Linked DNA regions of Macaca mulatta. The protein of the gene in region 3 interacts with the protein of the main gene of each other region in a pairwise test. Links are inferred from orthologs where the notes say so. Each region holds a gene or a part of one and is shown on either strand. Other genes may lie near its edges.

Region 1 (4,100 bases), on a different chromosome or scaffold from region 3:
GAACATCAGTGGTTCTCAGTCTTCTTTCCACCCCAACCCATCTGAGGGATTCAACACCTCTCCATTTATAGAAGTGACGACAGTCTGAAAACGTCCCTCAGGTGATTCTAAGACACTACCCTAGAAGCTGTTCCCGTGCTGGTACCCTCTAGTACACTACGGCAGACTTATCTGAGGTTCCACACAGCTCTACAGTCTGCAACTTTAGGTACAGGAAAACTATAGTAACACTTCAATAGGAGCTTAGGAAGAAAGGCCAAAAGTTAGTATACATCTTCATTTGTTGGAACATGAAAGATTCAAATAAGAATGTCTATACTGATGACATCAAAGAAGAAGATGGTATAACTGTTCATATGGCAGGCGGCACAACTGACCTAGAATTGGCTTCTAATCAAGGAGGTAGATAAAGGAGGAGGAAAAATAGGGAATCAATCAAAATAATCACCCCTAAGGTTTGAGGAAACGGTCTGAATGTGTGATTAATGGAAAGACTTGTGTAAGTTAACTTGCCTGATATCAGAAAGGGAAGCCAAAGATGAACGCACAGAGATGTGATGGTATATGATCCCAATTTCTTCTCCAAAATATCGATTTGTCACATGTTTGATATCAATTCCATGTAAGTAATTTTTTTTTTCTGAACAACTCTATAAACTAATAACCAATAAATACTAAAAAGAAAAGATTTGGACACACACATTATAAATACAAATCAAATACACCAGTTCAGCATGGTGATTGACGAGAACTGCCAAGTATGGTATTTACAAACAATGTTCATATTTCTTTGAATATCCACTTACTGTGGACAAATTGCACAGCATTTAAACGCTATTGTTATAGTTGGGTATGGTGACTTGTGCCTGTAATCCCAGACTCTCTGGAGGACAGGAGTTCAAGACCAGCATGGGCAACATACTGAGATCCCCATCTCTTAAAAAAACACAGTGATAATTTAAAAAGCTCTTGTATGTGCAAAATCATGTGAAAAATTCTCACAACTAGGAAAGAAGGAAATAGAATTTGAAAACTTCCTTGGAAGATGTGCATTTTCTGATCCAAATGTGAACCAATATTACGTCGTCATTAATAAGTATGCAAGTTATGGTAAAGAGGCCGACTGAGGCTTCAAAATTAGGATATTTATATAAAACAACGTGTAACTGAACTATCTTCAAACAAGAAAACATTATAACTTAATAAATGCTGATGCTGATTGTTAACTGTATGTTTTACAATGAGACGACCTTTAAATGGGACAAAAAATAACAGGTGATCAACAGATTTAGAATTTGAAAATAAAAAACTGGCAGGCTCTAAAAGTTGCTGTCCTCTGTACCTAAAGATGCCACTAGTGGCTAGTCAGAATACAATGTGTACGTCACTATCACTGCTCTAACATTTACTATTGCTATAATGGACTACTGGTCAAAAAAGTAGATAAAAATGTGGGCATTAATTTCTTCTGAAACAACTACAAAATACACTGACCATTGTTGCTTAACTTAGTGAAAAGCACTCCCTATTTAACAAACACATTCTCAATGTTCCCAGTGTGAACTGTAACTGTAAAACCTAAAACTTGGGTCAGTACACAGACCAACAAGAAATAAAAATGAACAGAAAGAAATGCCCGAATATCAATTCTGAAGGATGTTCGCTTCTGAAATGGTGGCAATAAATACTGTGAAAAAAAGACAATTCCACACACAGGGTTGAGATGGGTGAACAGTTGTTGGATGAAGATACATATTTCTTCCTCATTTTATACCCATGTGTCAAAGCATCAAAACAATCTATTTGCGACAGTTTATGTTGTGTCTCGAACTTTACATCTAAGTTTACCATGAGGGGCAAAAAAAACCTGTTTGGCTTGACTCACCGTGAATCACAGCCAGGAGGTCATCTTGTTGTGTATCAGCAACTATGTTTTCGCTACAGCTATGTGACCTGAAGTGGCAGCAGCAGAGGCACCAAAATAGAAGGGGCAGGAGCCTTCTCTTGGCTTCTTGGCCGCAAATGGGCTTTCCAGCCCATTCGGGCAACTGAGCAAGAGCCAACCGCAGAGGAGAAAGAACCAACCCGACAGCTCCGCGGAGAAAGGCTGCAGGCCCACCCCACCTTCCGTGCCCTCCCGGGGAGCCCGGGTAAGCAAGAACATAAAAGAGACAGGCTTAAGAAACAGCCTGGAGAAAACACAGCATGACAGGGGTCAAAACTAGCCTCATGGAGGGCAAAACCCAGCCGTGACCGTGAAGCACAGATTTCGGGGCGGTCTGGACGCGGAGGAGGCTCTCTACCCTGGGGCTCCGGGAGCGGCCCCGGCGCGAGCGCGCCACGGGCCCCCAGCCTTCAAGCTCCCCCGGCCGCCTGGGATCTGCCCCCGCTCCCACCTAACCTGTCCGGTGCCCGCTGGCCGGGCCCGAGCCTCCAGCTCCCTGCCCGCACCCCGGCCCACCCTTCCATCCCGTGCTTTCCCTGCATATCTCTCGGGACCACTGGCCGAGTCAGCGTGGGCAGGCGCCGCTGCCCTGCTGCCCCGCAGCCCCAGGCCCGGCCCCGGCACTCACTTTCTGAATCCGCTTCAGCGCCATGGATCAGGGATCGCGGTGGGGACACCGGCCGGCAGGGGTCGGCTGCGGGGCTCGGGGGCGTGAGTCTTCGCGAGTTGGGCTCGCTGGCAGCTCAGCTGGCTCCGCGCGGTGGGTCCCCGGTTCGCCGCTCCCTGGCTCGCTCCGGGCGCCGGTCCCTGCTCCGTCTGCGCCCGAGCGCGAGTGTGCGCGAGTGTGCGGGCGGGGAGGCCGGCGAGACTCTTTTGTTTCCGCTTTTGCTTCTGGGAAGGAGCCTGCGCCCTCCCCGCCGCGCCCCGCCCCGCCTGGCATACTGGGAAGTGTAGTTCCAGCCCTGTCCTCGGCCGCAGGCCCCCAGACGCTGCCAGGTTACTTGCTGCTGACCTTAGCCAGGCAGCTTAAGGTGAGAGCTGCCGGGTGCTGGAGTTAGTCTCTACAGTCTCATTTAGAGCAAGTTACTGAACCTGGGGCTGCGCATCTGTAAAATGGGGATAACAAATGAGCTCCTAACGCACATAAAGGAATTTCTAAATCATCAGTTAGTAATTCCTTATCCAATAGGTGCCACAGCTGGTTTTATTATATTTACCTTTAAATATTTCACTGTCTTTTCTCAAATATATGAATTATCTCAATTACTCACCCAGCACACATGCACAAACTCATATCTATCAGACCCCTTACTTACCTCCTTGGTTCTTACTGCAGAGGAAAAAGGTGTCTCTTCTGTCCAATGCACAGATCTTCCGTGTCTGAGTGCATCGTCTGCTCATAGGTATGCCCCTCCCATAAATTACCCGCTTCGAACACCGAGTTCAGAGCTCTCACTCCCATCGTTGACTCCTTCCCTTCCATTGACAGTCTCTGACTAATAGTCAACGCACACTCCCCACTCTCCAATTCCTGGGCACTTGTGTACCCATTAAAACTTGGCTTCTTGGCCGGGCACAGTGGCTCACGCCTGTAATCCTAGGGCTTTGGGAGGCTGAGGCGGGCAGATTACCTGAGGTTGGGAGTTCGAGACCAGACTGGCCAACATGGTGAAATCCCATCTCTACTAAAAATACAAAAATTACCTGGGCATGGTGGTGGGCGCCTGTAATCCCAGCTACTCAGGAGACTGAGGCAGGAGAACCGCTTAATCCCGGGAGGCGGAGGTTGCAGTGAGCTGAGTTGGAGTCACTGCTCTCCAGCCTGGGCGACAGAGTAAGACTCTGTCTCAAAAAGGAAAAAAAAAAAAAGTGAAAACATCAACAGATGTTGGTGACGCTGAGGAGAAAAGGTAACATTTATATGCTGTTAGTGGGAATGTAAATTAGTTCAGCCATCGTGGAAAACAGTTTGGAGATTTCTCAAAGAACTTACAACAAAACTACCATTTGACCCAGCAATCCCATTACTGGTTATATATGCAACTGAAAACAAATTATTCCACCAAAAAGATATATGTTCTCACATGTTCATCAGTACTATTCACAATAGCAAAGACATGGAGTCAACCTAGGTGCTCATTAATGGTGGATTGGA
Region 2 (3,953 bases), on a different chromosome or scaffold from region 3:
AAAAAGAAACACCAGTTGAGAGAAGAGTGATGGAACAAAAAGAAATGGAAAGGGATGGCAGTATGTAATGATACGCTACTTAACATGCTGGACACTCCCAAAGACCTTGGGATTCTTAGGACCAAGTGGGGCCAGTCTCAGAGCCTCCCATTGGATGCAAACAAGATGCACCTAAGGAAGCCTGGACAGATGCTTTTTGTTTTTTGTGGTCTTTTTTGAGGGCGGGGCAGAGGGAGCATGACCGGGAGAGGGAGGAGGAAAGGAAGGCCAGGGTGGGGGGAAGGATCAGCTAAATCTGAGGGAAGAAGAAGGAGAGGAGAGGGACTATTGCATAGCAGATGCAAATGAAGGGACTTGGGGCTAGTCAGGAAGAAAGGGAAAGGGAAGGCAGGCAAGAGAGAGGAGGTGAAGGGAACCTCAGGAAGGGGTGTTAAGGACAACCAGAAAAATCTTCTAGTAATAAAACTACAAACAGACCAAATATATATAATATTATATATGTATAAATAACAGCTGGCTATTTACAGGGGGACACACACACGGACACACACACGCACGGATCCAGGGAAGGGGGGCTGAAAGATATGGCTGAGAGGTGGAGGAACGGCTGAGGGTGGGGGGAGAGGCCCTTCTTTAGGCAGGGCAGACTCCTCAGGGATTTAAGTGCTGAAGTAAACTGTGGAGAGAGGGGAAGAAGATGAGGAAGAGGGAGAGGGGAGAGAGAGAGGGAGAAAGAAAGAAAGCAGTGTGTCAGGCCTGGCCCTGCTCCAATCCTCCCCACTCCCCAGCTGGCTGGCACCCCTACCCCTCTCTTGGACTCAGTTTCTCCATCTACAAAGCAAGGGGTTAGACAGGTAGGTTATGAGGTCCCTTCAGTTCCATGGTATGGCCTTGAGGCCACATACCCTAATCCTCTGAGCCTGAGGCCACAAGCTCTCAAATAATGGGGTGGTTGGCTTCCTGGTCATGTCTCAAGCCCCTGGGCCTTTCCTTTCTCCCACTCCTCAATTCCAGGGCTCTCAGATTGGGCTCTTAGGCCCAAAGGGTCCTCAATGGATACACCAACTTTTATATTTCTAAATGTTAACAAAACTGCCAAGAACCAGGCAAAATGCAGGCTAAATAACATCAAAGTTTTTGGCTCTAGGTGAATCAGAATTGCCATTAGCAGCTATATGTGTTTTTGGCTGAAGAGTAAAAACTAGGTTAATGACCTTCAAAACCCAGAATCCACTGGGGAAACCTCTCCAGGGAAAGGGCCCCGGCCATTCCCAGCCTACTCACCTATGATGATGATGAGGATGATGGCGCAAATCACTCCCAAGATGATCATCATCTGGGGGTGAGAGGAGAGGATCAGCGAGACTAACTATGATACCCCATTCACCTGCCAGTCCTCCTTCCTGTCCCCATCCTTACCTTGAGGTTTTTCCACCAGTATTTGCGCTTGAGCTTGGCTGCACTTGTTTCAAACTGGGAGGCCCCTGCCTGGAGTGCATCTGCACGGTCGTCCAGCTCCGACAGCTTCTGGTCCCGCTCCAGGACCTTGTCCACGTTCACCCTCATGATGTCCACCACCTGGGAGAAGGGCCCACGGGGCAAGGGGGTGTGCCAAGGCCCACCTCATGAGGGCAATCCTCAAACATGTGCCCACCGTGCCACACATGGAACATGCACCCTGATGCTGCCAGGTTAACATGCCAAGGACACACACAGTACATGCCTAGCACACCTGGGGACATGCAAGGAGCACACATCAGGGGATTGCTGGTGACATCTCAGATATCATAGCAACACCCTCCCTCTATGGCGCCTCAGGCGCTCTGTCCATCACCAGAGCACACCTGCCTAGGCTGGCACACCCCAGGCTAGCAAAGCTGATTAACACCCCCAGCACCCTTCCAAGTGCGTGCTGACAGGGAGACACGGATGGGGCAAAGTATCTTTGTCCGCAAACCCACAGGCGTGAACTGTCATCACTCCCAAACCAACATGGGCCCCTACACCTAAACGCCAACCCCCAGGGTCCTTTCTACTGCTTTTGACTCCCCCCACACTCACCTCATCCACCTGGGCCTGGGTCTGCTGCAGTCTCCTGTTACTGGTGAGGTTTGGAGGGGGTGCAGGGGGGCCACCCTCCCCAGCCGGGGCGGCAGGGGGGGCCGTGGCAGCGGTAGCAGACCTGAGGAGCAGGGACGGATTAAGACCCAGGGCCTGCAGTCTCCCGGCCCTGCAGCCAGGGCTCCGCCCATCCACCTGTCCATCCTCGTCCCTCCAGTCCTCCTTTTCGGGAGGAAGGCCACCCGATGGAAGCCCTGGTCCAGGTCCAGCCTCGCCACCGATGAGCTGCGTGACCTTGAGCGAGGCCTCCCCTCCCCCCGGCCTCAGTTTCCCCGCCTGTCAAATGAGGGCGACCTCACAGATGTGATCGGGGTCGACCCGAAAAGACAGGCGGCCGCGGTGACAGGGGCGGGGCGCGGCAGGAGGACACAGGGTCCGCTCCTTCCCGCGGCCATCGCTCGAGCCGGCCAGCCCGAGACGCTGGGCTTCTCGGCCGCCCGCGCGCAGTCACCGGCTTGGGCCTGGCCCCGGGGCGCGGGGAACGCGGGAGAGACCCCGGGCACTCCCCACGGCCGGTTGCCAAGGGCGGCGGCCGGTGCAGGGAAGCGCGGTGAGGGTGGCGGGCGGCCGACTCACATGGCGGGGGCAGCGGGTGGAGGACTTGGCAGCAGCAGTGATGGCGGCGGCGACTCGCGCTGGCTCCGACTGGCGCTGGCTGCCCGGGACGGAAAGATGGCGGCCGCGCGTCACCCGCATCCGGGCACTGCGGGCGGGGGCGGGGCGCCGCGGGCGACGCGTCGGGAGCGGGGCCGCGGGGGCGGGGCGCTGCGGGACTGGGGTCGTGCCGGGCGGGACTGCGGGTCTGGCGCCACCGTGCCCCGGCAGCTCTCTGGGCACTCACGGGACCACCAGGCGGGTTGCTGCGGCTTCCCTAAACCCACCGTCACCCCGCCCTGTCTGAGCACAGCCTTCCACAGCCGCCCCCAAACCTCTTGCCACCTGCCCCTTAGGGCACACAGCAGCCTGGCCCCGCACCTAACCCCCAGACCACTCCCTGAATCGTGAACCCAATAAGCCAGCCTGCATCCCACACAGCCCAAGGTCTCGCCCCGCGCCCAGGTCCCAGCACCTAGCGACCCGCCTTCAGCACTGGGAATGGGCTGGGGTTGGGAAATCAGAGAGGGTCAGTACAGGCGCTGGGGCAATATCGAGAGCGGGGACCCTGCTGCTAGGGTGGAGGGGAGTGGAGGAGGTTGGTCTCAACCCATCACCCCGCTGGTGGATGTCTCAGAGGAAGCCTGCGATCCCAGGCCACTGGGTAGGAGGGTGGGAAGAAAAGATGAGGCAGGCTCTTCCCGCCGAAACAAGTCCAGGGGGTGGAGGACCGGGGAGTGTCTACAGGGTGTGAGGAGGGGGGTGCCCCGCCTCACGATTGAGGTTCAGACCAGGGGTACTTAACAGCTGGAGCAGGCCCGACTGAGGTGGGGTGAGCTGAAGACCCCGAGGAGGAGGGCACAAGGCAGCCGGGGCTGATGGGGGCAGGGGCTGCTTCACGTGGTGGCTGCTGACTGGCCAAGACCTAGCTTTGCCCCAGGCTTGGGTCAGCGACCCCAACTGCAGGAGAGGGCTCAGGCTTTGGTCCCAGGCACAGGGACCAAAAGGCTTTTTTCTCTCTCATTTTTTTTTCTTTAGTAGTAGGCACAGTGGGTACAGTTTACAAGGTGCTGCTTTACATGCGTATTCGCCTCGCAGGTGTGACCTTGGACAGTTGCCCTCCTCTCTCTGGACCCCAAATACATTGCATATGTAGATACTAAATCCATATTCGTTAAATGGCTTGATGTGGATAACATGGAAGATTATCCCTATCTCCATTAGGCCCTCTAAGCACA
Region 3 (3,500 bases):
TTGAGACAGAGTCTCACTCTGTCCCCCAGGCTGGAGTGCAATGGTCCAATCTCAGCTCACTGCATCCTCCTCCTCCTGGGTTCAAGCAGTTCTCCTGCCTCAGCCTCCTGAGTAGCTGGGCTTATAGCCGTCTGCCACCACGCTCGGCTAATTTTTGTATTTTTAGTAGAGATGGGGTGTCACTGTGTTGGTCAGGCTGGTCTTGAACTCGACCTCAGGTGAGCCACCGTGCCTGGCCGCTAGACTCATTTTCATATATTTGTATACACATGCATGCAAACCTTGCACACATATTCATATGTCTTACCCTGCTCCTTTCCTCCATCCTTCCCTGGCTCCCATCTCTCCCCTTCTCTGTTCCGGGAGAGTAAGCTATCTTTATGGATCTCTGAAGGAGAAGGTGGTCCATTTTGGCTGGGTCAGGGTCCAGAGTGCACAGTTCTATCATTGGTGGTTGTAGTGAAAACTTGGGCTACTTACATGGCAGAAGTCAGAACTTGATAGTCTTCTGACATGTCAGGTTTTCTTGACTGACCTCTTGAGCGTCAGAGGGACTCTTCACAGTTTACCTTTCTCCTCTTACCTGCTGCTTATTAAGACAGGTGGAGTTGGGGAGAAATAGGACAATATCTAATGAGTTTGGCATTTTGACCCCAGGGTCTGATGAGTTCTCACTTTGTCTTGTAGTTGACGCCCCTAACTGTACTTGTACTGCTTGCTCTCCTAGGAGACATTTTTCTTGTCCGTGGTGGGATGCGTGCTGTGGAGTTCAAAGTGGTGGAAACAGATCCTAGCCCTTATTGCATTGTTGCTCCAGACACAGTGATCCACTGCGAAGGGGAGCCTATCAAACGAGAGGTGAGTTTTCTCCCTGATTCCAGTATCCAATTTCATGATTACTCAGTGTGGCATCATGTGGTAACTGTCAAGACTGGGTGCTCGGCCGGCTGTGGTGGCTCACACCTGTAATCCCAGTACTTTGGGAGGCTGAGGTGGGCAGATCACTTGAGGTCAGGTGTTCGAGACCAGCCTGGGCAACATGGTGATACCCCGTCTCTACTAAAAATACAAAAATTAGCCAGGCCTGGTGGTGAACATCTGGAATCCCAGCTACTCGGGAGACTGAGGCAGGAGAATCGGTTGAACCCAGGAGTTGGAGGTTGCAGTGAGCTGAGTTTGTGCCACTTCTCTCCAGCCTGGTTGACCAAAAAAAAAAAAAAAAAGACTGGGTGTTCTTTGGAGAACTAACCATCTTTCAGGGATGAGAAACCTGCCAGCTATTCATTTCTGGGCCTAATTGTTTGTTGGATGTACCTAATGTCAGGAATTTCAAAAACCTAGACTGAATCCAAAATATATAAGTGATTGAAACCATTTTTGAAGTAAAGCTGATGGTGGCTTCAGGCCTCTGCCCATTCCCAGGGTTTCCAGCTTCAGGTTTTAGAGACCCTTTCTCAGTAAGACTACGAGTAATGTGAGAGGCAAGGACTGTGCTGGAAATCTTTGCCTTGGGATTTTTGTGGTGGTTCTTTGAGGCTGGATCCCTTTAGAGGAGAATCTTCTTTTTTAAATTTAATTTAATTTTTAATGAGATGGGATCTTGCTGTATTGCCCAGGAACAACTGGACTCAAGCAGTCCTTCCACCTCTGCCTTCCAAAGTGCTAGGATTACAGATGTGAGCCACCGTGCCGGGTTGATAATCTTATTATACTCATACGCTAGGTTTTTGCATACTAGGTAGTGGAATGATTTAGAGAAACTCAACTTTTGCTGATATAATATTCTTGCCTTCTCCTTTCTCTCTTCCACATTCAGGATGAGGAAGAGTCCTTGAATGAAGTAGGGTATGATGACATTGGTGGCTGCAGGAAGCAGCTAGCTCAGATAAAGGAGATGGTGGAACTGCCCCTGAGACATCCTGCCCTCTTTAAGGCAATTGGTGTGAAGGTGAGCATCCTGGGCTCTGGGATCAAGTCTAAAGTGGTGATTAATATCCAGTGTCTAATCCTGGGACTGTTTTCATACATGGCTTTCATTATTGCCTTGGATTAGAGGGGCAATAATATATCCTTTAGTTTACCTAAGGCTCTAAATTCATTAGAGCTGATGGTCTAGACCAGAGTAGGCTAATTAAATTGTCTGTCGTGTGTATGTGCGCACAAAACACACACACATATATGGGTTTTTTCCCACAACTCTTAGAATATAAAAGCCATTATTGTATCAATGGACCCCGTAAAAACAAATCTCACAATAGTTTGCCAGCCTGTCTAGAGCAGTGTCACCCAATAGAAGTAAGGAAGTTAAGGAAATTTTCAGAGTGTTAAAGGGTTTTGAGTCTAAAACATTTGAGAACTATTGGTCTAGAGTGTAGCTTCCCAATCTTTTCTATATCATGGAACACACTGAAGATGAAGTTACTCATTTTCCTAGTAGGTATCACACAAATTCATCTTCTATGTGGACAGTTTACATGTTCTGCTTGTGGATAGGGCCATAGAAAGGGTAGTGTCAAAGAAGAAAATTGATGATTGTAAGAAACACCATTCCAGTGTGATAAATTCTGGAGGGCGTGGTTATTGGAGTGAGTGATTCTCTGGCAATGAAGAAAATAGACCCTGCTCTCTTAAATGGCTTAGCTAGTCTTTGGCCCTTGGTCTGTCTGAAATCGAGCCCTTTGTGTAATGGCCTCTTGCCTTTGCCTAGTCATGTATCTTCAAATACATTTGGACTAGAGTTTCTCTGCCCTTAGTCTCCTATGCAAGTTACAGTCATAAATATTGCCCACTTTCTAGCAGTATTTTCCTTGCTAGTAATAGAAATGATTGTGGCCTAAAGTAAATTGTCTGCTTAGCATTTACTACTGAGGGCTTATTCTTAATATTGTCAGGGTTGAAGCCTGGTTCTCCCCGTCTCTGGAGCCCTAGTTAAGCCATTTTAGGGTTTGGGAGAAGGTGGGAACGTAATCACACTCTGCATTGGTCCACAGCCTCCTAGAGGAATCCTGCTTTACGGACCTCCTGGAACAGGAAAGACCCTGATTGCTCGAGCTGTAGCAAATGAGACTGGAGCCTTTTTCTTCTTGATAAATGGTAAGATACTTGGTTCATCTTATGTCTGGCTAGACCCAATTTGAACTGGGCTCATGAGCTGGAGCACTCATGGACACATCCTTTTTGCACCCATGCCCTCCTGCACCTTTATAGCATATTTCTTCTGCTTGGGTATGTTACAGACAGATGAGCAATAGAGGGAAGATATTTTACACTGGTGCTCCCTGTCCTGCCCCCCTTGAGAAAGATGGTGGACAGACTGAAGAGCAGGAGCAAACTAGAACGAGAAATCAAAGGGCGAATGCTTAGTGATTTGAGAGAGTTTGGGGAAAATGAACTTCGATCACTGGCTCTTGGAGAATGCTATTTAGTGGTGTGCCATCTCTCCTGCTCTGGCTAGAGCATTTGTTGTCACATTTATACTTCTAGTTCAACTGTGAGACGAG
Region 4 (3,500 bases), on a different chromosome or scaffold from region 3:
GGGGTTAGGGCTTCCACACAAATTTTGAGAAGTGTGGGTCTCGACCTATGACAAGCATTAAGTTCTCCTTTCAGGATGGTGGAGTAAAGATGTTCCTGTTCCATTCTCCCCAAAATTACCCGAAACAGAGCAGAAAATGAAATATACACAAGCTCTATCTTCAAAACCCAAGAGATCCATATTCACAGAGGAAAATCTATGAAGACAAAGTAGATAAAGAAACAGTAAGTGACTTAGAGAGGAAAAAGCAAACCTGAAGACTTGCTGGAAGGGGCCAGAGGACACGCATGGGGAGCCAGTTCTCTCCACAGAGCAACATGAGGGCCCAAGAAATGGAGGCATCAGCTGTTGAGGAAGACAGCTGGGTAACAGGCAGGTAAAAGAAAGGAGTTACTAGACAGTCTCAGTAGAAACCCTTCACCCCCATATACCTGCTCCTGCCTTGAAAATCCCGGTGCTAATTCACCCAACACCAATAGGAAATGAAAAGTGTATTTTCTGGAGAAACTAAACCGGGCATACATGTAAAGACAGCAGCAGTGGACAAATGCCAGGCAGAGAATGAAATGACTCTATAAAGTACTGCATACTGACCAGTGAGCCTCTGAGTCCCTCTCTTTGGAGTTCTCTTCTGCTTCCTGTACTGTTTCTGCTGAGAGGTAAGAAATTATATATATATATTTCTTTTTTTTTTAAGTAACAAAGAAAAAAGGAGGAGTTTGGAGAATTTTTTTTAAAATCTCCCCTTCTTCCCCCAAAAAAACCCAAATCAGTAAAATATTTAGAAGATAAAGTCAAGAAAATACACCAAAATATAGAAAAAAGATAGTCAAAGATAACTTACAGGAGAAAATCTCTAAAGTTAGAAGATAAACCTGGGAGGTCTACAATTTGAATAATAGAAATTCCAAAAAGAGAAAATGAAGGGATATAAATCAAACAGATAACACAAGAAAATCATCTAGAACTAGAGATGAATTTCTAGATTGAAAATCAATTTCAAAAAGACTTTCACACTAAATCACATCATTACAGAATGCCAGAAAAAGAAAAGATGATATTAAAGTATTTTCAGGGGAAACAGAGAAAATCCCCCACATAAAGCCTGAAATTCACATGGCCTTGGATTTCTCAGGAACCAGTACCCAAAGTTAGAAGAGCAATGCCTCAAAATTCTGGAGGAAAAATATGTCCAGTTTGGAATAGTCATCAATAAAAATGCAAGCAAAGTGTGAGAGCTGAATAAAGATAGTTTCAGACATGGAAGGACCTGAACATGTTTACCTTCCATGTGTCTTCTCTTGGGAAGCTACTAAGTAATATGCTCCACCAAAACAAAGAAATAAAGCAAGAAAATAGAAGAAATGAGGCTCAGAAATCAGAGAACCCAACTTAGGAAAGCAATAAAAGCAATTCCCAAGATAACTTTAAAACAGTGATTCTCAACTTTGGCTGCACATTAGAATCACCCGGGGAGCTTTTTGAAACCCTGAAGCCCAGGCCACAATACAGCAGGCTCTCTGGAGGTGTAACCCAGGTGTCTGTGATTTTTAAAGCTCCCTAGGTGAATCCAGTGTGCAGAGGAGGCTGAGAACTATTGTGTTAAAGGAAAGTCCCAGAACAACGGCTGTGCACCAGGCCTACAAACACCCAGGACAGGTTAAAGCAGGAGGAAAGAGGGATCCAGGAGAGAGAGGAAAAAAAAAAAATCGACAGGTTATCTGACAGGTGTAATTTGGAAAATTGTTTAGAAATCTGCATCAAGAGGCATTTTGTAGAACAGTCACAAAAGCTGTCAGAAGACCGTCAAATGTTCAAAGGAAACTAAGAAAACGCTAAAATAAAATATGTTCAAAGAGTTTTACAGGAAGATATAACCACAGTATACCAACTGGCTTGGCAGTGAGAAAATGTTTATATAGTCATAAAAGGGAAAGCTCAAATTACTGAATAATTATAAGAATGAGAGGAAGAAATGAGTTAATAAGGTCTAAAATTGATTAGTCAAGACATATCAACACATATTAACAGATATTCAGAGCTAACTAAGAAAAGAAACAGGTGGTGGGTTGCATAATGGCCCCCCAAAGATGTCCCAATCCCTGGAATCTGTGAATGTTTCTTTATATGACAAAAGGGACTTTCCAGAAATTAAGGATCTTGAAATGAAGAGATTAGCCTGGATGGTCCAGGTGGGCCCATTGTAATCACAAGGGTCATTATAAGAGGAAGCCAAGAAGGTCAGGGAGGGTGCAGAAGGTTGGGTGAGATGGAAGCTAAATTGGAGCAATGCAGCCATGTGCCAAGGGTTTGGGGGGACAGGGGACAGATGCCCCCTGGAGCCTCCAAAAGGAACCATCCCTGTTGATAACCTCATTTTAGCATTTTAAAACTCATTTTTATTTCTGATCTCCGGAAGCGTAAGAGAATAAATGTTTGTTCTATTAGGTCACTACATTTGTGGTAATTTGTTACAGCAGCAATGGGAAATGCTAAGTGTTCCAAGTGTTGGGGTGGAAGTGGAATTCAAGTGGAGCAAAGGGACACATAGTAAGTATTTTATTTGACTTCGTAATGAATGAGCATGTGACACGTAGATAAAAATTACAATAACCAACCTGCACTGAGTGCTCACAGTAGTGTGAGAGAGGACAGCTGGAGAGGCACGAGCTAGAGAGCTCGGCCCCTCAGACATCAACATGCACACACATCTCCCATGGATTGTGTTAAATGCAAGCTCTGATTCAGGAGGCCTGCAGTGGGGCCTGAGATTGGTCTGCATTGAAATCTTTGCTCCTGATTTCAAAAGCTTTGCTTCCCCTTACCCCTTTGCAGAAGCAAAGATTTAGACTCAAGGCCAGTCCTGCAGACCCTAGAGGACTAAAAAGGGGCCATTGTAAAGAAAGAGACAGAATCTAGAATTGAAGGAGGGAGGGAGGGACAGAGAGAGGAAAGAGCTTTGTGCCTAAGCTATTTTGATTTTATCCTTGAAGATATGGGGGACCACTGAATGATTTGGGGAAGTGAAACACCAGGATGAGATTTTTTCACATCGTTATTCTTTGTTGAGGAAGTAGAGACGTAAGGCCTGGTGCGGTGGCTTGCACCTGTAATCCCAGCACTTTGGGAGGCCAAGGTGGGTGGATCATTTCAGCCCAGGAGTTTGAGATCACCCTGTGCAATGTGGCAAAACCCTGTCTCTACAAAGACTACAAAAGTTAGCAGGGCATGGGGGTGCATGCCTGTGGTCCCAGCTACTCAGAAGGCTGAGATGGCAGGATGGCTTGAGCCTGGGAGGTGGAGGTTGCAGTGAGCCAGATCACGCTACTGCACTCCAGCCTGGGTGACAGAGTGAGACCCTGTCTACAAAAATTTAAAAAATAAAAGATAAAAAAAAGTGGGGGCATAAAACCAGAGACTAGAAACCATTTCACATTTAACTAGAAATATGCAGTGATGGTTGCTGAGGGAGGTCTGATGATGCTGGTACTTCTGCCTAC
Region 5 (4,053 bases), on a different chromosome or scaffold from region 3:
TCTGCTTCCCACAGTGGACTGGGAGTTCCTTGAGGGTGGTGACTAAGGTTTTAAATCTCTATGTCCCACCCTAACCAAGCACCAGTTACCTTGTAAGTGCTTCATATCTGTTGTTAAGTAAATGAATAATGGAGAACCTAGACAAGGACTTGACAGAGAAGCAAAAGGAACAGTGACTGCCCAAATAGTACTTTTCACCCCTGGAAATGTTGTTACTACCCCGAGCATACAGTGAGCAGCCCACATCCATATAGATCAGCAGACCAAGTGGAATAGAATGAATGGAATGAGCCTGGCTTCTTCAGGCCTGATGCTGAGGACATGTGCCCTACCTGTATGGAGGAGATAGCTCTATCCCCCTCCAAAGACAGTGACAACACAGGTACATACACAAATGTATAGCATGTGTCACAGTCCTTAAAGACATTACATAGGGCTGAGCAAAGTAGGCACCTGTGCGGGTGTGGAGGACATATGGTAGCTCCAGAATTCCAGGAGCCAGCTCAGGGCAGCCCAGAACAAAGCGTCAGGGCCTAAGCAGGGTGCGGAGGGCGTCTGCATGGGGCAAGGGACAGTGTCATGATGGCAGTTGATGACATTTGGGGGATTGAGTGAATAAGCATATAATATATTAAGGATAATGGGAGCCAGCTTCTGATGAATGTTAGAGAAGGGAGTTACAAATGTAGAAAGGGAGTGTTGGATTGGAATTGGAAGTATGAATTGGCAGTATGAATTTATGGCTTTCAATACATATAGATTAATATAGAAATAAATAGATACGTAAATAGAGGAGGAAACTGGGATTCAAAATTAGATCTGTCTAGCTCTTTTCACTGATCTATACTACCGCCCTACACATAGGGCCTCTGCTGTGAAACCTCTGCCCCCTTCCCTGTCCCCCCAGAACCCCAACCCTAGCTCACACAGACTTAAAAGATTCCACCCTCCTGGTTCCAGAGCATGCATCACACCTCATGTCATTAGCTGCACACAACTATCTCATGACGTTTTGATTACACTGAGGGTAGGCCTCCTCTTATCTGTATTCCCTGCATCTCCCTTGGAGCCAGGCACATGGTCATCACACTAGTTAGTATTAATATTTATTGTGCAGTTGTTATGCATCAGGAAAGACTTCCCATACATAATCATTCACAGCTGAAGACAACCTTATGAGGGATGTATTACCATCGTTCTCATTTTACATATTGGCAAGGTAAGGTTAGCGGTGTTAACTGAGGTACTCCAAGATGCAGAGCTAGTGGGAAGTAGAACCAAGAGTCAAGGCCAGACAGTCTAATTCCTCAGGCTGTGCTCCTTGCCCCTCAGCTCTGCCACCATGGACTTGGTGTAAGTAAATGTTCACTCAACAAATTCCTCCCGGGGGATTTGTGTATCTGAATGCTCTCCCTCAATCCAAGTCCACTCTTTATGCTGAGCTTACTTGAAGCTCACCTCTTTAGGGAAGCCCCCCACCCCGCCATCCTACTCTGCACTGCCTCAGCATTCCTTGGGCACAGGACTTGCACCACGCCCTGACATATGAGCCAGTCAGTGTTGGAGCAGGGAACATAGTTTATCGACATTTGTTGAACTGAATTCAATGCCCAGGAATGGAAGTAAACAGGAATACATGACAAGGTGGTGTATTGTACAGGATACTGTGGCTATCTATTTCTGGATTTTCCTGAGAGTTCCAATTTCTAAAATTCCATCCTCTCATCAGACCATTTGTCAGAATACATGGCCAAGAATGTAGTCTGGAATTTTCTGTAAAGAGTAGGGTCACCATTCTACTGAAAAGAGATAGGAATGAAGACAGGATGTGCTGCTGGTCACCCACAACTCTACACATCCATGAGCAGGTCACAGCTTCTCTCAACCTCTTTATCCATGGGTAAAACTACAATGCAACACCTACTCCTACTGTGGAATGAAACAAAGTCTGTGTGTGAATGTGTTTTAAATACCGATAAAGAATATTGTCGCATAAACCCAGTTACTGTTAGTGGGATTACTTATATTTTTACTGATCTGTCTGGCAAGTCGTTTTCATTTGTCAAAGTAAATAAGCTTTGAATGAAGGCCACTGCAGAAAAAAATAGGGTATAAAAAGAGGAAATGCCAAGGCGTTTCTAGTGTTTTCAAAAAGACACACCTAGATATTTCCATCTTTTAGACTCTCCTCAGTTTGGGGTGTGTGTGTGTGTGTGTGTGTGTGTGTGTGTGTGTGTGTGTGTGAGAGAGAGAGAGAGAGAGAGAGGTGAGAACTGGGGGCTGAGTGGGCAGAGGTGACGTTTTTAAGAAATGGTATGAGATTCTACCTTGTAGAGGAACTAGGCCATCTTACCTTTGCTGTATTGCGGATCAGTTCCCAGCTGTGTGAAGTCTCAGGTGATAGTCCGTTTGAGAGATGAGTTCTGCTGGCTTAGCAGTAGCTCAGGAAATTTTTCTTTCTCTTTCCAGTATTCTGTGTCCCAGCTATGCATGAAAACTGCTCCACCATTGTACATGCAGGGGTTAACCAGGACATCCCCTGTCCCTTCTGCAAGGCTTTGGGTAGAGCAGATTCATAAAACTGAGAGCAGCTATGGAGAGCTTAGCGGGAGAGTGGTCCCCTGCAGAGCAGCATGCATTAGCATCAGTGACAAATCTATTCTGGTTTGGATGGGGCTGAGACGCCCCTGAACTTCCTTCTGCTTTTGCCAAAAGCCAAGATCCTTTTGTTCACCTTTAGGGTTGCCAAGTCAGGCCTACCTCGCCCCTAGATGTTGTTTCCTGTGGGCAATGGGAAAATGATCTTGGAGCCAGAGAAGGGAAATCAACAAGGAAATAAACACAGGGTCACCACACCTTCAGGCCATCATTAGGTCTGGAACATTATCATGCTAATAGGCAGGGGCTGCTGACTGGACAGGCCCTAGAATCCTGGGCATCTTTTATTTTTGAATATGAAAAGGGACATGCACCAAAATCTATATCAGGCAAATAAGTAGTTCTGACTTGTTCCAATACCTTGCCAAAACTTTCAAAGATTTTCTCTCGGCAGTATTGCTCATAACTGAACACTGGCTAATGTTTGTGGACAAAGAAGAAGACTGAGCAAGTTTGTGGCTGATACTACTTAAGACTCTTAACTCTAAAGATACAGAATGATTGTTTAAATAAGGATTTCTTCTGCTCATTCTTCAGCATTACCATCGCCATCACTGTCAGCCGCTGCAACATCTTTGCTAACATTTATTAAGTGCTTACTGCCTACCAGGTTCTGTAGTAATTACCTGACCTGCATTATTTAATTTAATTCTCAACAGAATCTATAATTATCACTCCCATTATATAGATAAAGAAACTGAGGATTAGAGAGATTAAGTCGTTCCTGCAAAGTGACCCAGCTAGTTAAAAATGTAAACGTTGCGCTTCTGGAAGTGTGCTTTTCTGAGTTTTGCTTTTCCCACTGGTTTGCTTAAGCACTTCTGTGGGATGACAGCTCCAGTGATGGCCAAAGATTTTGCTTAAATAAGCGATAAGCTCTGGGAATTCGATTCTAAGTAGAAATGTGAATAATTAGTGAATTAAGTAGTCTCTTTCCAGAGATGTGAATCGGGAGCTCGGTGTTATCTTATGTATGTGCAACATGCAAGAAAGACACATGGAGTGCAGGTACTTGTGGCTCCCTAATTACAGGTGGTGCCGCTGGCTGCGGTGCCTTCAGCTCTCCACTGTGACTCTGATTTACAAACAAGGAAGTACACTGCAAATTCCTTGGCCTCTGTGTGCATTTTGGTCATGGCCTGATTGCCACTTTGTCCCTTTGACTTTCGGAGCCAGCTGCTACAAGTTTCTTTTAATCAATAATCCACGGAGTGAATGAGGCAAAATTGCCAACCTGGAAAATTCTGCCTGGTGAGATGAAGTCAGCACATGTATTTTCAGTCCTAAGGTCACACTTCTGACTCTTTTTGGTTCTACCCCTAATCTTTATTTTCAATTGCTAGCACTTAGCTCTCTTGTGTCATGGCGGTTACCCAGGGCAGCTGGCATCTGGTC
Region 6 (4,200 bases), on a different chromosome or scaffold from region 3:
CAGCTAGCCCTCCCGTTCCTCTCTCTGACAGCTGATCTCACATGTGCCTCCCTGGGAGCACCTGCTCTGAGCTGTATCAGTCCCCAGCAGGGCGCTGATTATCGCTGAGGCTGCCCACAGAGCACGAGATTAGGATGCAGCAACGCACTGTGTGTGTGAGATCACGTCCCGAACCTTCTGACTCATCTGCACAGGAAACCCCCACTGCCTCCCCTCCAGTCAGAAAGGACCTGAAATTCCACCAGTGGCAATACCAAGGAAACTTCCTATTAGCTAAGCCCCTGGGGAGTGATGGGGGAGGGAGGCGGTGAGGAGGATGAGGATGAAGCCTGAGCAACCTGGATGTGAGGCTGTGCAGGGGATGAGGACAAGGATCGTTGGGGTGAAGGAAGAGAAGAGCAATTTTAGTTTTTGCTAATTTTGTAACCTGGCTCTAAGCCAGCCCTTACAGGAAGTCAGCCTGGCCTCCGGCTCAGTTCAGCAAGTGATAGGGAAGCCACATTCAGGCGGAGCAGGGAAAGAGGTAAGGAAATGGAAGCGGGGCTGTGGTGAAGTGGGGAGTCTACAAATTCCCGCTGCCTGGGGCTGTTCCTAACAGCCGCTGGGAGCTAGCTGCAGGTGTGGTGCCTGGCAGGGCGGCCGGGCCATCTGACCTGGATTTCACTCCAAGCTGGGCTGCAGCCTGAAGGATTCCTATCGCCCACCTTTGCCTGGGCTGGGCCTTTCGGACTTACATGGCTATGAGGCGTGCCACGGTGGTCTTGAACCGGTCAAAGATGTAGCCAGTGGGGAATGTCATGAAGTTGTTCATGAAGGACCCCAGGGTGAAGATGAGTGAGAACCTCTCATCCTGGGCTTTGCAGTCTGGAGAAGAAAAAAGGTTTCCCATGCATCCCAGCCTTCCTGCCAAATGAGCACACAGCCTGGGCTCCCCCCTCCACCTCGGACAGCTCATCAGTCAGAAGCTCGTCCCTTCAGCTCAGTTGAAATGTGGCTGCCCCTAATTATCCCTCAGGAGCTGGTGCCTCCCTTCCAGGCACTTCCCAGACCAAGTGGGCTGAGGGCTGCTGAGCCTTCCTCTCATCATAGAAAGAGGGGTGGGCAGGGGGCAGAGTCCTTCCTGCTCCTTGCCACCACCTGGGAGCCAGACTTAACTTCCTTAGAAAAGTCATCCCTGCCCTTACCGGCCTGCCCTGTGGCATTGCCAATCGGCCCAGCATCTTGTCCACACAGCTCCTTAAAGTAATCCTCATTCTTGAAGACAAACACTAGTGAAGGCCAGCCAAAGAGGACGCCAGCAAAGCCCAGGCATTCCAGCAGCCCCGTCAGCAGTGTGGCCACGTGCAGGGGCAGGCCCTGGCCCGCCATGAGCAGAGGTGGAGTGGATCTTCAAATCCCACTTTGTCCTCCTGGACGGATCACAGGCGCTGTAAGCCTGGCGTTTGAGCACTTGGAAAATTCCTCTGGCAAGCCAAGCCCTTCCCTTCCCGTAGCTCTCTGGTTCTGTTTCAGGCCTGGGCAAAAACCGTCAGCGGGTGATTCTCTGGATCCTGTAAAATAAAGACAGAGGCTGCTGGAAGAGGAGGCCTGCGGGAAAGGCAAAGGTGGACTAGAGTTATTTGTGGGGTGCATTAAGAGGCAGGGTGATCATGGCCGCTGGCAGCAAATATGGGGAATAGATACTCCAATACACTATCTTAGGCACTGCATTTGAGTAACCACGTGGTAAGTAGAGAGGCAGATCTTAATTGCCACCTGGAGTCACAGGTGAGATAAACGACTTACCCAATAGCTCCCCGGCAGCAGGTGGAGAAGCGGAGGCTCCTGCGCTCGAATTCTGAATACCGTCCACTAAAATAATGACAGCAACTCAAGCAGGTACAGGGGCAGGGAGGCCCTACACAGAAGACACACACTCCCGCTGCCAACTTGGTGTTGTTATCTTCAGTTTATTGACAATGAAACAAAACCTCCCGCAGATTTCAGGAACTTGCCCAAGATCACAGGGCTAGTTTAGTCACGAGGCAGGCCATTCTACTGCCAGAAATACCCCAGCTCCCATGACCCTCGCCTAGGACTCGCAAACATGGTCCCCGCTGCCCTGCCTCGCATCAACTTCTACCAGGAAAGCCTCGGGGGGCCGCTCCCCGCCAGCCTCCGCACCCCGCTCCAGCCTGCGGCCGGCCCTCCCCGCAGAGGAGCCCGAGGGGCCAGCCCGGGCTCGGAGCCCCAAGGCCCCCGAAAGGGGACCCCTCGCCCTACCCGCGTGCTCCGCGCCGGGGCTCTCCGCGCCCTTTCGTTCGCATTCGCGCCTCTCGCCGCCCCTCCCAGTCCCCTGCTCGCCTCCGCCCCTGCCTGCCCTCCCGGAAGGGGTTGGGGCAGGCCTCCCATTCTCCATCACTTCCTTCTTCTTTTTCCTTGCTCACAGCCTCCCGCGCCTTTTTTTACCTCTCCCTTTTGAAACTTCTCCCTCTAGGATCCCCTATAACCCCAGCGGTGTCTTTCCCTCCCTCCTCACTGCCTTTCAGCCTCCCAGCCCCCTTGCCTCTGCCTCCCCTAACCAAGTTAGTTGAATGCTGTTACACGCTCAGGCCCACCTAGGAAAAATGTCACCCACTCACCCACTTACCCAGAGGACACGCAGACAGCACATGCGGGCATAGGGACACACACACTCTCTCTATTTGTGCATTTTGCCTTGACCGCTGGGTGGGCAGGGAACATATTTTTCCTATTTGCTCACCACCTCAACCCTCTCTCCCAGTTTCACACTCCCACAGCTGCCAAAAACATCCCAACCACAGAATCAGGCAGCCAAGAACCAGGACTGAGGGCTTTTCAGAAACCACCGCCTGGAGGACTGCCCCATCTTTTCGCTCCCGAAGACCCCTTAGATGACTCCCGGCCTCACCCCCACCCCCAGGTTCTGAAAGAACCTTCCCAGCAGACTGCATTGATTAACTATTCATTCATTGCCCCATTTTTTATTAATCAAAGACATATATAATTGCCCATCGGAGCTTGTGATCAGCGTGAGGTAGCCAGTCTAAGCAGCTGCCTTACCATCCCTCCAGTCCAGAGCACGTGAGCTGATGTCTTCTTTGGCCTGAGTGGCTGTTCCCTTGTCAAAAGCTCAGTTTGGGGGAGAGCTTCTTGCATATTAGATGCAGTCTGCAGACTCCCAACCCCAGCTACCTGGATCCCGTGGGGGCCCAGGAACTCCAGCTATTCCAAGCCCACTCCTCTTTTTTTTTTTTTTTTTTTTTTTTTGAGACGGAGTCTTGCTCTGTCACCCAGGCTGGAGTGCAGGGGCCGGATCTCAGCTCACTGCAAGCTCCGCCTCCCGGGTTTACACCATTCTCCTGCCTCAGCCTCCCGAGTAGCTGGGACTACAGGCGCCCGCCACCGCGCCCGGCTAGTTTTTTGTATTTTTAGTAGAGACGGGGTTTCACCATGTTAGCCAGGATGGTCTCGATCTCCTGACCTCGTGATCCGCCCGCCTCGGCCTCCCAAAGTGCTGGGATTACAGGCTTGAGCCACCGCGCCCGGCCACTCCTCTTTTTTTTAAGAGGAAGAAATAGAGGTTAGGATAGGGGACAGCCAGAACTGAGTATTTTCCAGATCCAACTGAGTATTTTCCAGTTCACCACCAAAACACAAAAGATAAAGTCTGTGACCACTCTAGTGACTTGACTGAATGGAGGAAGGGTGGCTGGGGTCCTGTACCCCAAGCTACTTGCTAGTTATACAACCTGAGGCAAGCTCTTTGGCTGCCCCACCTGTAAGACAAGGACAATAGGACCTTAATTATAGGAATTGTCTTAAAAGAAGTATGAGATGGGTGTATGAGGTCCCTGCATGGCGCAGGTGCTGTAGGCAGATTGTAGGGTAGTGGATTTCTAGTCTGCAGTTATGTAGACAGAGCCAGAGAAGCAGCTTTGGGGAGGAATTTTAAAGGAACTTGCCCATGGTCACTCTACGAAGCCGCAGTACCTTCCCAACTCTGAAACCTATGCTCTCATCACCCCATCTTAACAAACATTTGGACATTAGAGAAAACAAGTCTCTTCTTAAAATAACATTTTAAGTTATTTTAAGAAATACATTTTAATCCACAAAAATATAGCAGCCCGGGACAATCAGGGCTTAAGATGCAAGATTTTCTATTTTACTGCAAGACAGACTCTGAAATTAATGCAT
Region 7 (4,259 bases), on a different chromosome or scaffold from region 3:
CTGCACTCCAGCCTGGGCTGGGCGACAGAGCGAGACTCCGTCTCAAAAAAAAAAAAAAAAAGAGTATGAGCTGGGCACAGTGACCGACACCTGTAATCCCAGCACTTTGGGAGGCCGAGGCAGGCAGATCACTTGAGGTCAGGAGTTCGAAACCAGCCTGGCCCACATGGTGAAACCCGTCTCTACTAAAAATACAAAACAGCAGGGCGTGGTGGCTCGTGCCTGTAATCCCAGCTACTTGGGAGGCTGAGGCAGGAGAACTGCTTCAACCCAGGAGGTGGAGGTTGCAGTGAGCCGAGGTTGCACCACTGCACTCCAGCCTCGCCAACACAGCAAGACTCCGTCTCAAAACAAACAAACAAAAACAGTATGGAAACTAGTGGTTTTCAAACTTTATTTTTAAAAGTGACAGAACTCTTTCTTTCTTACTGTAGAAAAATACTCTCTATATAAGAGATAAAGGATTTGTTGAAGCAGGGACTCCCAGTCTGGTGAGGTGGCTCACATTTGTAATCCCAGCACTTTGGGAGGCCAAGATGGGTGGATTCCTTGAGCCCAGGAGTTCAAGACCAGCCTGGGCAGTATGGTGAAACCCCATCTCTACCAAAAATACAAAGGTTAGCTGGGTGTGATAGCTCACATCTGTGGTCCAGTTACTCAGGAGGCTGACATGGGAGCATTACCTGAGCCTGGGAGGTTGAGGCTGCAGTGAGGCATGACGGGGCCACTGCACTCCAGCCTGGTCGACAGAGTGAGACTCTGTCAATCAATCAATCAGTCAATCAATCAACCAATCAATCAATAAGCAGGGACTCCCTCACCACACACCCACCTCTCTGCGGCTATCCAATCTATTGTGTGACAGCCTGAAAAACCATCTTTTTTTTTTTTTTTTTGAGATGAAGTTTCGCTTTTGTTGCCCAGGTTGGAGTGCAATGATCTCGGCTCACCGCAACCTCCGCCTTCCGGGTTCAAGCGATTCCGCCTTAGCCTCCCAAGTAACTGGGATTAAGGCGCCCGCTAACAGGCCCGACTAATTTTTTTGAATTTTTAGTAGAGACGGAGTTTCACCATGTTGGCCAGGGTGATCTCGAACTCCTGACCTCAGGTGATCCACCGGCCTCGGCCTCCCAAAGTGCTGGGATCACAGGCCTGAGCCACCGCGCCCAGCCGAAAAACCACCATCTTAGACCGTCCTAGAGCTGGCAGAGCTGGCCCATCATACTCCATTAAACACTGGCAAGAAAAGCCTGTCCAAATCAAATAACTTATTTAAAACATGTTGAGATTATTTGTGTACTTGATAAAAGGAATCTACTACCAGTATAAATGCATTCAGATTAGTTGTGTACAGTCGAATTTTTATTTGTAGGAAATATTTCGATTTTTCTTCAGATATGTGAGACACCCCAAGAGAATATCGTAAGTATAAACTGGGTTTGGGGAAGAATAACATGGCAGTCGGGTCAGTATCTAAAGCTATATCTAAAGCTCTTGTTCCTAATTCCGATAGCATGTCTGTAATTGGGCCCCCAATTTCAAATTTAGTCCACTCTTCTTTTCTATACAACGAGAGGCTTTATGCTCCACTTGCTACATGACCCAAATCAATAATCCCATGCAGCAGCTTGGGGAACCCGAGGTTTCCACCATGGGACCAAATAAACTCAGGATACTTCTGAGAACTTCAATCCCGTGAAATAACTATTTCAGAGAAGGATCCTTGTGGAAAGACCGGAACATGAAGAGCATTCTGAGGTAACCCTTCCCAACTTTCTCCTCCACACATTCTTGCAGAGGAAATTAAGAGGGAGAAAAAAATTAAGAAATCCCAACTTAGTCGGGACTCTAGGAGTACATGTCAAGCATAGAACTCCTAATTTAAGGGCCAGGCTCCCTTGGGAAGGTAGCGAGTGCATCGCGACAAAATCCTACCTCCCGCCTTCGGAATCAAACGGCCCCGCATCCAAACAGTTTAGAATCCAGCTTGTTCTTAATGCTACAGTCAAGAGAGGATCCATAACCCGCCTTGGTCATCTGCCCTTCTGTGTTCACAACCGTTCATAGCACAAGTTCTTCGGTCTAACCTAATCTTTCCCTGCTGCGGGGTTAAGCCCAACCTTTCTTTCTGACCTTGGGGAGCCGGCAGCTCCCCGCCCGGTGCCCTCACAAAAGCCTGAGGGGGCCCCCTCTCCAAGATGAGACGTTTCTCCCATCCCCCCACCCTCCTAAATTTAGGACAGGGAAGCTTTAGGGCCACTGTCTCTCTTCCGGGACCGATCACACTTCGTTCCAAATAGGAAACGATAGGGGAGTAAAAAGATGGAGGGGCGGGAGACCTGGACCCCGGAGAGTCACCTTCCAGCTACCCACAGGAACCAAGCATCCGATCACTCGCGCATCCCTCTCCCCTACTCCCCCGGCCCTCAGTGGACCCCACAGGGAGCCCCGCCGGGTCCACACTTGCTCCGACCCCCATTTCGCGCGCCCCCTCGGCTCCATCTCCCAAATCCTCAGGCGACGAGTGGAAAGGGGGTCCCTTCCCTCTCACCTGGGACGGAGGCGCTCGCTCATGGCAGCTGGCGGAGGGAAGCTACGCTGCGCCGCTCCGCGAGAAGAGGGAACAGAGGGGGTTGTGTTTCGGCGGCCGCCACGCCCACCCCCTCGGGCCTTAGCTCTCGCAGCCGCTCGGGTGGACGCAGCCGGTGGCGAGTACCCCTCAGTCGGACCCGTACCACCGCTACTTCCGGCGTCTGCTCCGCGCCCCCCCATGTCGCTGCCGCCGTGGTACCGCCCTCTCGCGGCTGCGCAGTGGCACGATCCCAACCGCGCCGACCGGTAACCCCGCCCACGGGAAGAGGCGGGCTCGGAGGGGGAGGAGCGACTAGGAGCTTCTGGGAGAAAGGACCTCCCCTGGGGTGGCGGAAGCACTCGCCTGTTCACAGCCAACGGAGGGTACGGTATGAAAGTCAAGCCAGGTTTCAAATAAACTCAATTATGTCATAATAATATCATACAAGTATTTGAGTTGAATCCGTGTGAGGTAACATTTTTAAAAATAGGCGGACCTATCCGGCAGTGGTGCAGACAGCCTGACGCGGTTTCCTGGCCGGGGGTTGGGCAGGCGCTTGGGGGGCTTCCCTGGGGGGGCTTCCCGCCGAGGCCGCCTGGGCTTTCGGGTCTTCCGAGGTGAGGACGGTCCTGTGAGGTGAGCTTCCAAGGGCGGGGTTGTGTTCCGCGACCCACGTTCTAGGTCTGGGGAAGACTGTCCTGAGCGGAGAGGGGAGGGAATCGGGTGCCGGCGGAGGGTCTTCCTGGAACCGCAGGAGGAACCCCTCGGTGGGGCTGCGGGAACGCCGGTGCCTGACCCAGAATCTGCCAGGCCGACCCCATCCACTTCGCTGGCAGAATCAGAACAGCTTTCAGGGAAAGGAAGGGTGCGGGGAGGTGGGCAGGCTGGTAACGCGGCCGGAGGAGGGAAAGGTGGCTGAGGAGCGCCGGAGGTGAGGGCGAGGATTAGTGGAACTGTTGAGGTCCTCCTTGAGCCCAGAGGCTTGGGAGGTCTTAACTCTCTGCTTTCCGGAACCTGTTTGTTTTTGATTCAGTACCGTGCCGCATTTACTCACTGCGCGTGCTGCCAAGTCACCTGTCTCATCGTGTCTTACACAGGCTGACATTCACGTTTCATTCTGCCACACTCGGGAACGGTGATCGGGGAAGAATGGGGATCCGGGAGAAGCACCCGCAAAACTAGCATCCTCCTAGAGGAGCTCGAGTAAGTAAACAGCCACATATAGACGTTACCCTGGGAATGTACCGAGATGTTTCAAGTAGGATTGAGTGTGAGGTGGAGTGGAGGCAGAAACGTCTAGCAGGTGTCATGCCCTTTCTAACGTTATTAGCCGAAGGTCCATGGACTGGCTTCATTTGTGTGTATTTTTGTAAATAAACAGTCTGTGGCTTTCATCCTGTTAGTGTGTACCTCCAAACAAAGAAAGACTGATGGCTCACGCCTGTAATCCCAGCAAGCCGGGCGCGGTGGCTCACGCCTGTAATCCCAGCACTTTGGGAGACCGAGGCGGGTAGATCACCTGAGGTCAGGAGTTCGAGACCAGCCTGGCCAACATGGTGAAACCCCGTCTCTACTAAAAATACTAAAATTAGCTGGGCGTGGTGGCCCAGGCCCGTAATCCCAGTAATCCTAGCCACTGGGGAGGCTGAGGTTGCAGTGAGCCGAGATCGTGCCACTGCACTCCAGC

Evidence for each region.
Region 1: the proteins of VCP (region 3) and UBE2D1 interact in binary tests that used the Homo sapiens proteins (3 or more experiments, as listed by UniProt). The link is inferred for Macaca mulatta from reciprocal best matches to the Homo sapiens genes VCP and UBE2D1.
Region 2: the proteins of VCP (region 3) and VAMP2 interact in binary tests that used the Homo sapiens proteins (3 or more experiments, as listed by UniProt). The link is inferred for Macaca mulatta from reciprocal best matches to the Homo sapiens genes VCP and VAMP2.
Region 4: the proteins of VCP (region 3) and EPSTI1 interact in binary tests that used the Homo sapiens proteins (3 or more experiments, as listed by UniProt). The link is inferred for Macaca mulatta from reciprocal best matches to the Homo sapiens genes VCP and EPSTI1.
Region 5: the proteins of VCP (region 3) and LNX1 interact in binary tests that used the Homo sapiens proteins (3 or more experiments, as listed by UniProt). The link is inferred for Macaca mulatta from reciprocal best matches to the Homo sapiens genes VCP and LNX1.
Region 6: the proteins of VCP (region 3) and SLC43A3 interact in binary tests that used the Homo sapiens proteins (3 or more experiments, as listed by UniProt). The link is inferred for Macaca mulatta from reciprocal best matches to the Homo sapiens genes VCP and SLC43A3.
Region 7: the proteins of VCP (region 3) and VCF1 interact in binary tests that used the Homo sapiens proteins (3 or more experiments, as listed by UniProt). The link is inferred for Macaca mulatta from reciprocal best matches to the Homo sapiens genes VCP and VCF1.

What each region holds. Positions count from the first base shown.
Region 1 is NC_133414.1:91,527,783-91,531,882, forward strand, and holds the start of UBE2D1 (ubiquitin-conjugating enzyme E2 D1), read right to left. Parts: upstream 2,801-4,100; 5' UTR 2,598-2,800; coding exon 2,574-2,597; intron 1-2,573.
Region 2 is NC_133421.1:9,677,680-9,681,632, forward strand, and holds the start of VAMP2 (vesicle-associated membrane protein 2), read right to left. Parts: upstream 2,801-3,953; 5' UTR 2,700-2,800; coding exon 2,698-2,699; exon of another isoform or gene 2,265-2,697; coding exon of another isoform or gene 2,257-2,264; intron 2,183-2,256; coding exon 2,062-2,182; intron 1,579-2,061; coding exon 1,420-1,578; intron 1,337-1,419; coding exon 1,285-1,336; intron 677-1,284; coding exon 660-676; 3' UTR 1-659. UniProt on the Homo sapiens protein: Involved in the targeting and/or fusion of transport vesicles to their target membrane. Major SNARE protein of synaptic vesicles which mediates fusion of synaptic vesicles to release neurotransmitters.
Region 3 is NC_133420.1:64,662,549-64,666,048, forward strand, and holds part of VCP (transitional endoplasmic reticulum ATPase), read left to right. Parts: intron 1-687; exon of another isoform or gene 688-727; coding exon 728-858; intron 859-1,816; coding exon 1,817-1,984; intron 1,985-2,942; coding exon 2,943-3,093; coding exon of another isoform or gene 3,094-3,116; intron 3,117-3,500. UniProt on the Homo sapiens protein: Necessary for the fragmentation of Golgi stacks during mitosis and for their reassembly after mitosis. Involved in the formation of the transitional endoplasmic reticulum (tER).
Region 4 is NC_133422.1:22,250,113-22,253,612, forward strand, and holds part of EPSTI1 (epithelial-stromal interaction protein 1), read right to left. Parts: intron 362-3,500; coding exon 254-361; intron 1-253. UniProt on the Homo sapiens protein: Plays a role in M1 macrophage polarization and is required for the proper regulation of gene expression during M1 versus M2 macrophage differentiation.
Region 5 is NC_133410.1:79,855,989-79,860,041, reverse strand, and holds the start of LNX1 (E3 ubiquitin-protein ligase LNX), read right to left. Parts: upstream 2,801-4,053; 5' UTR 2,354-2,800; intron 1-2,353.
Region 6 is NC_133419.1:15,977,102-15,981,301, reverse strand, and holds the start of SLC43A3 (equilibrative nucleobase transporter 1), read right to left. Parts: upstream 2,801-4,200; 5' UTR 2,630-2,800; intron 2,624-2,629; exon of another isoform or gene 2,263-2,623; intron 1,852-2,262; 5' UTR 1,786-1,851; intron 1,551-1,785; 5' UTR 1,369-1,550; coding exon 1,185-1,368; intron 865-1,184; coding exon 735-864; intron 1-734. UniProt on the Homo sapiens protein: Sodium-independent purine-selective nucleobase transporter which mediates the equilibrative transport of extracellular purine nucleobases such as adenine, guanine and hypoxanthine.
Region 7 is NC_133421.1:82,885,699-82,889,957, forward strand, and holds the start of VCF1 (protein VCF1), read right to left. Parts: upstream 2,801-4,259; 5' UTR 2,773-2,800; coding exon 2,552-2,772; exon of another isoform or gene 2,551-2,551; intron 1-2,550.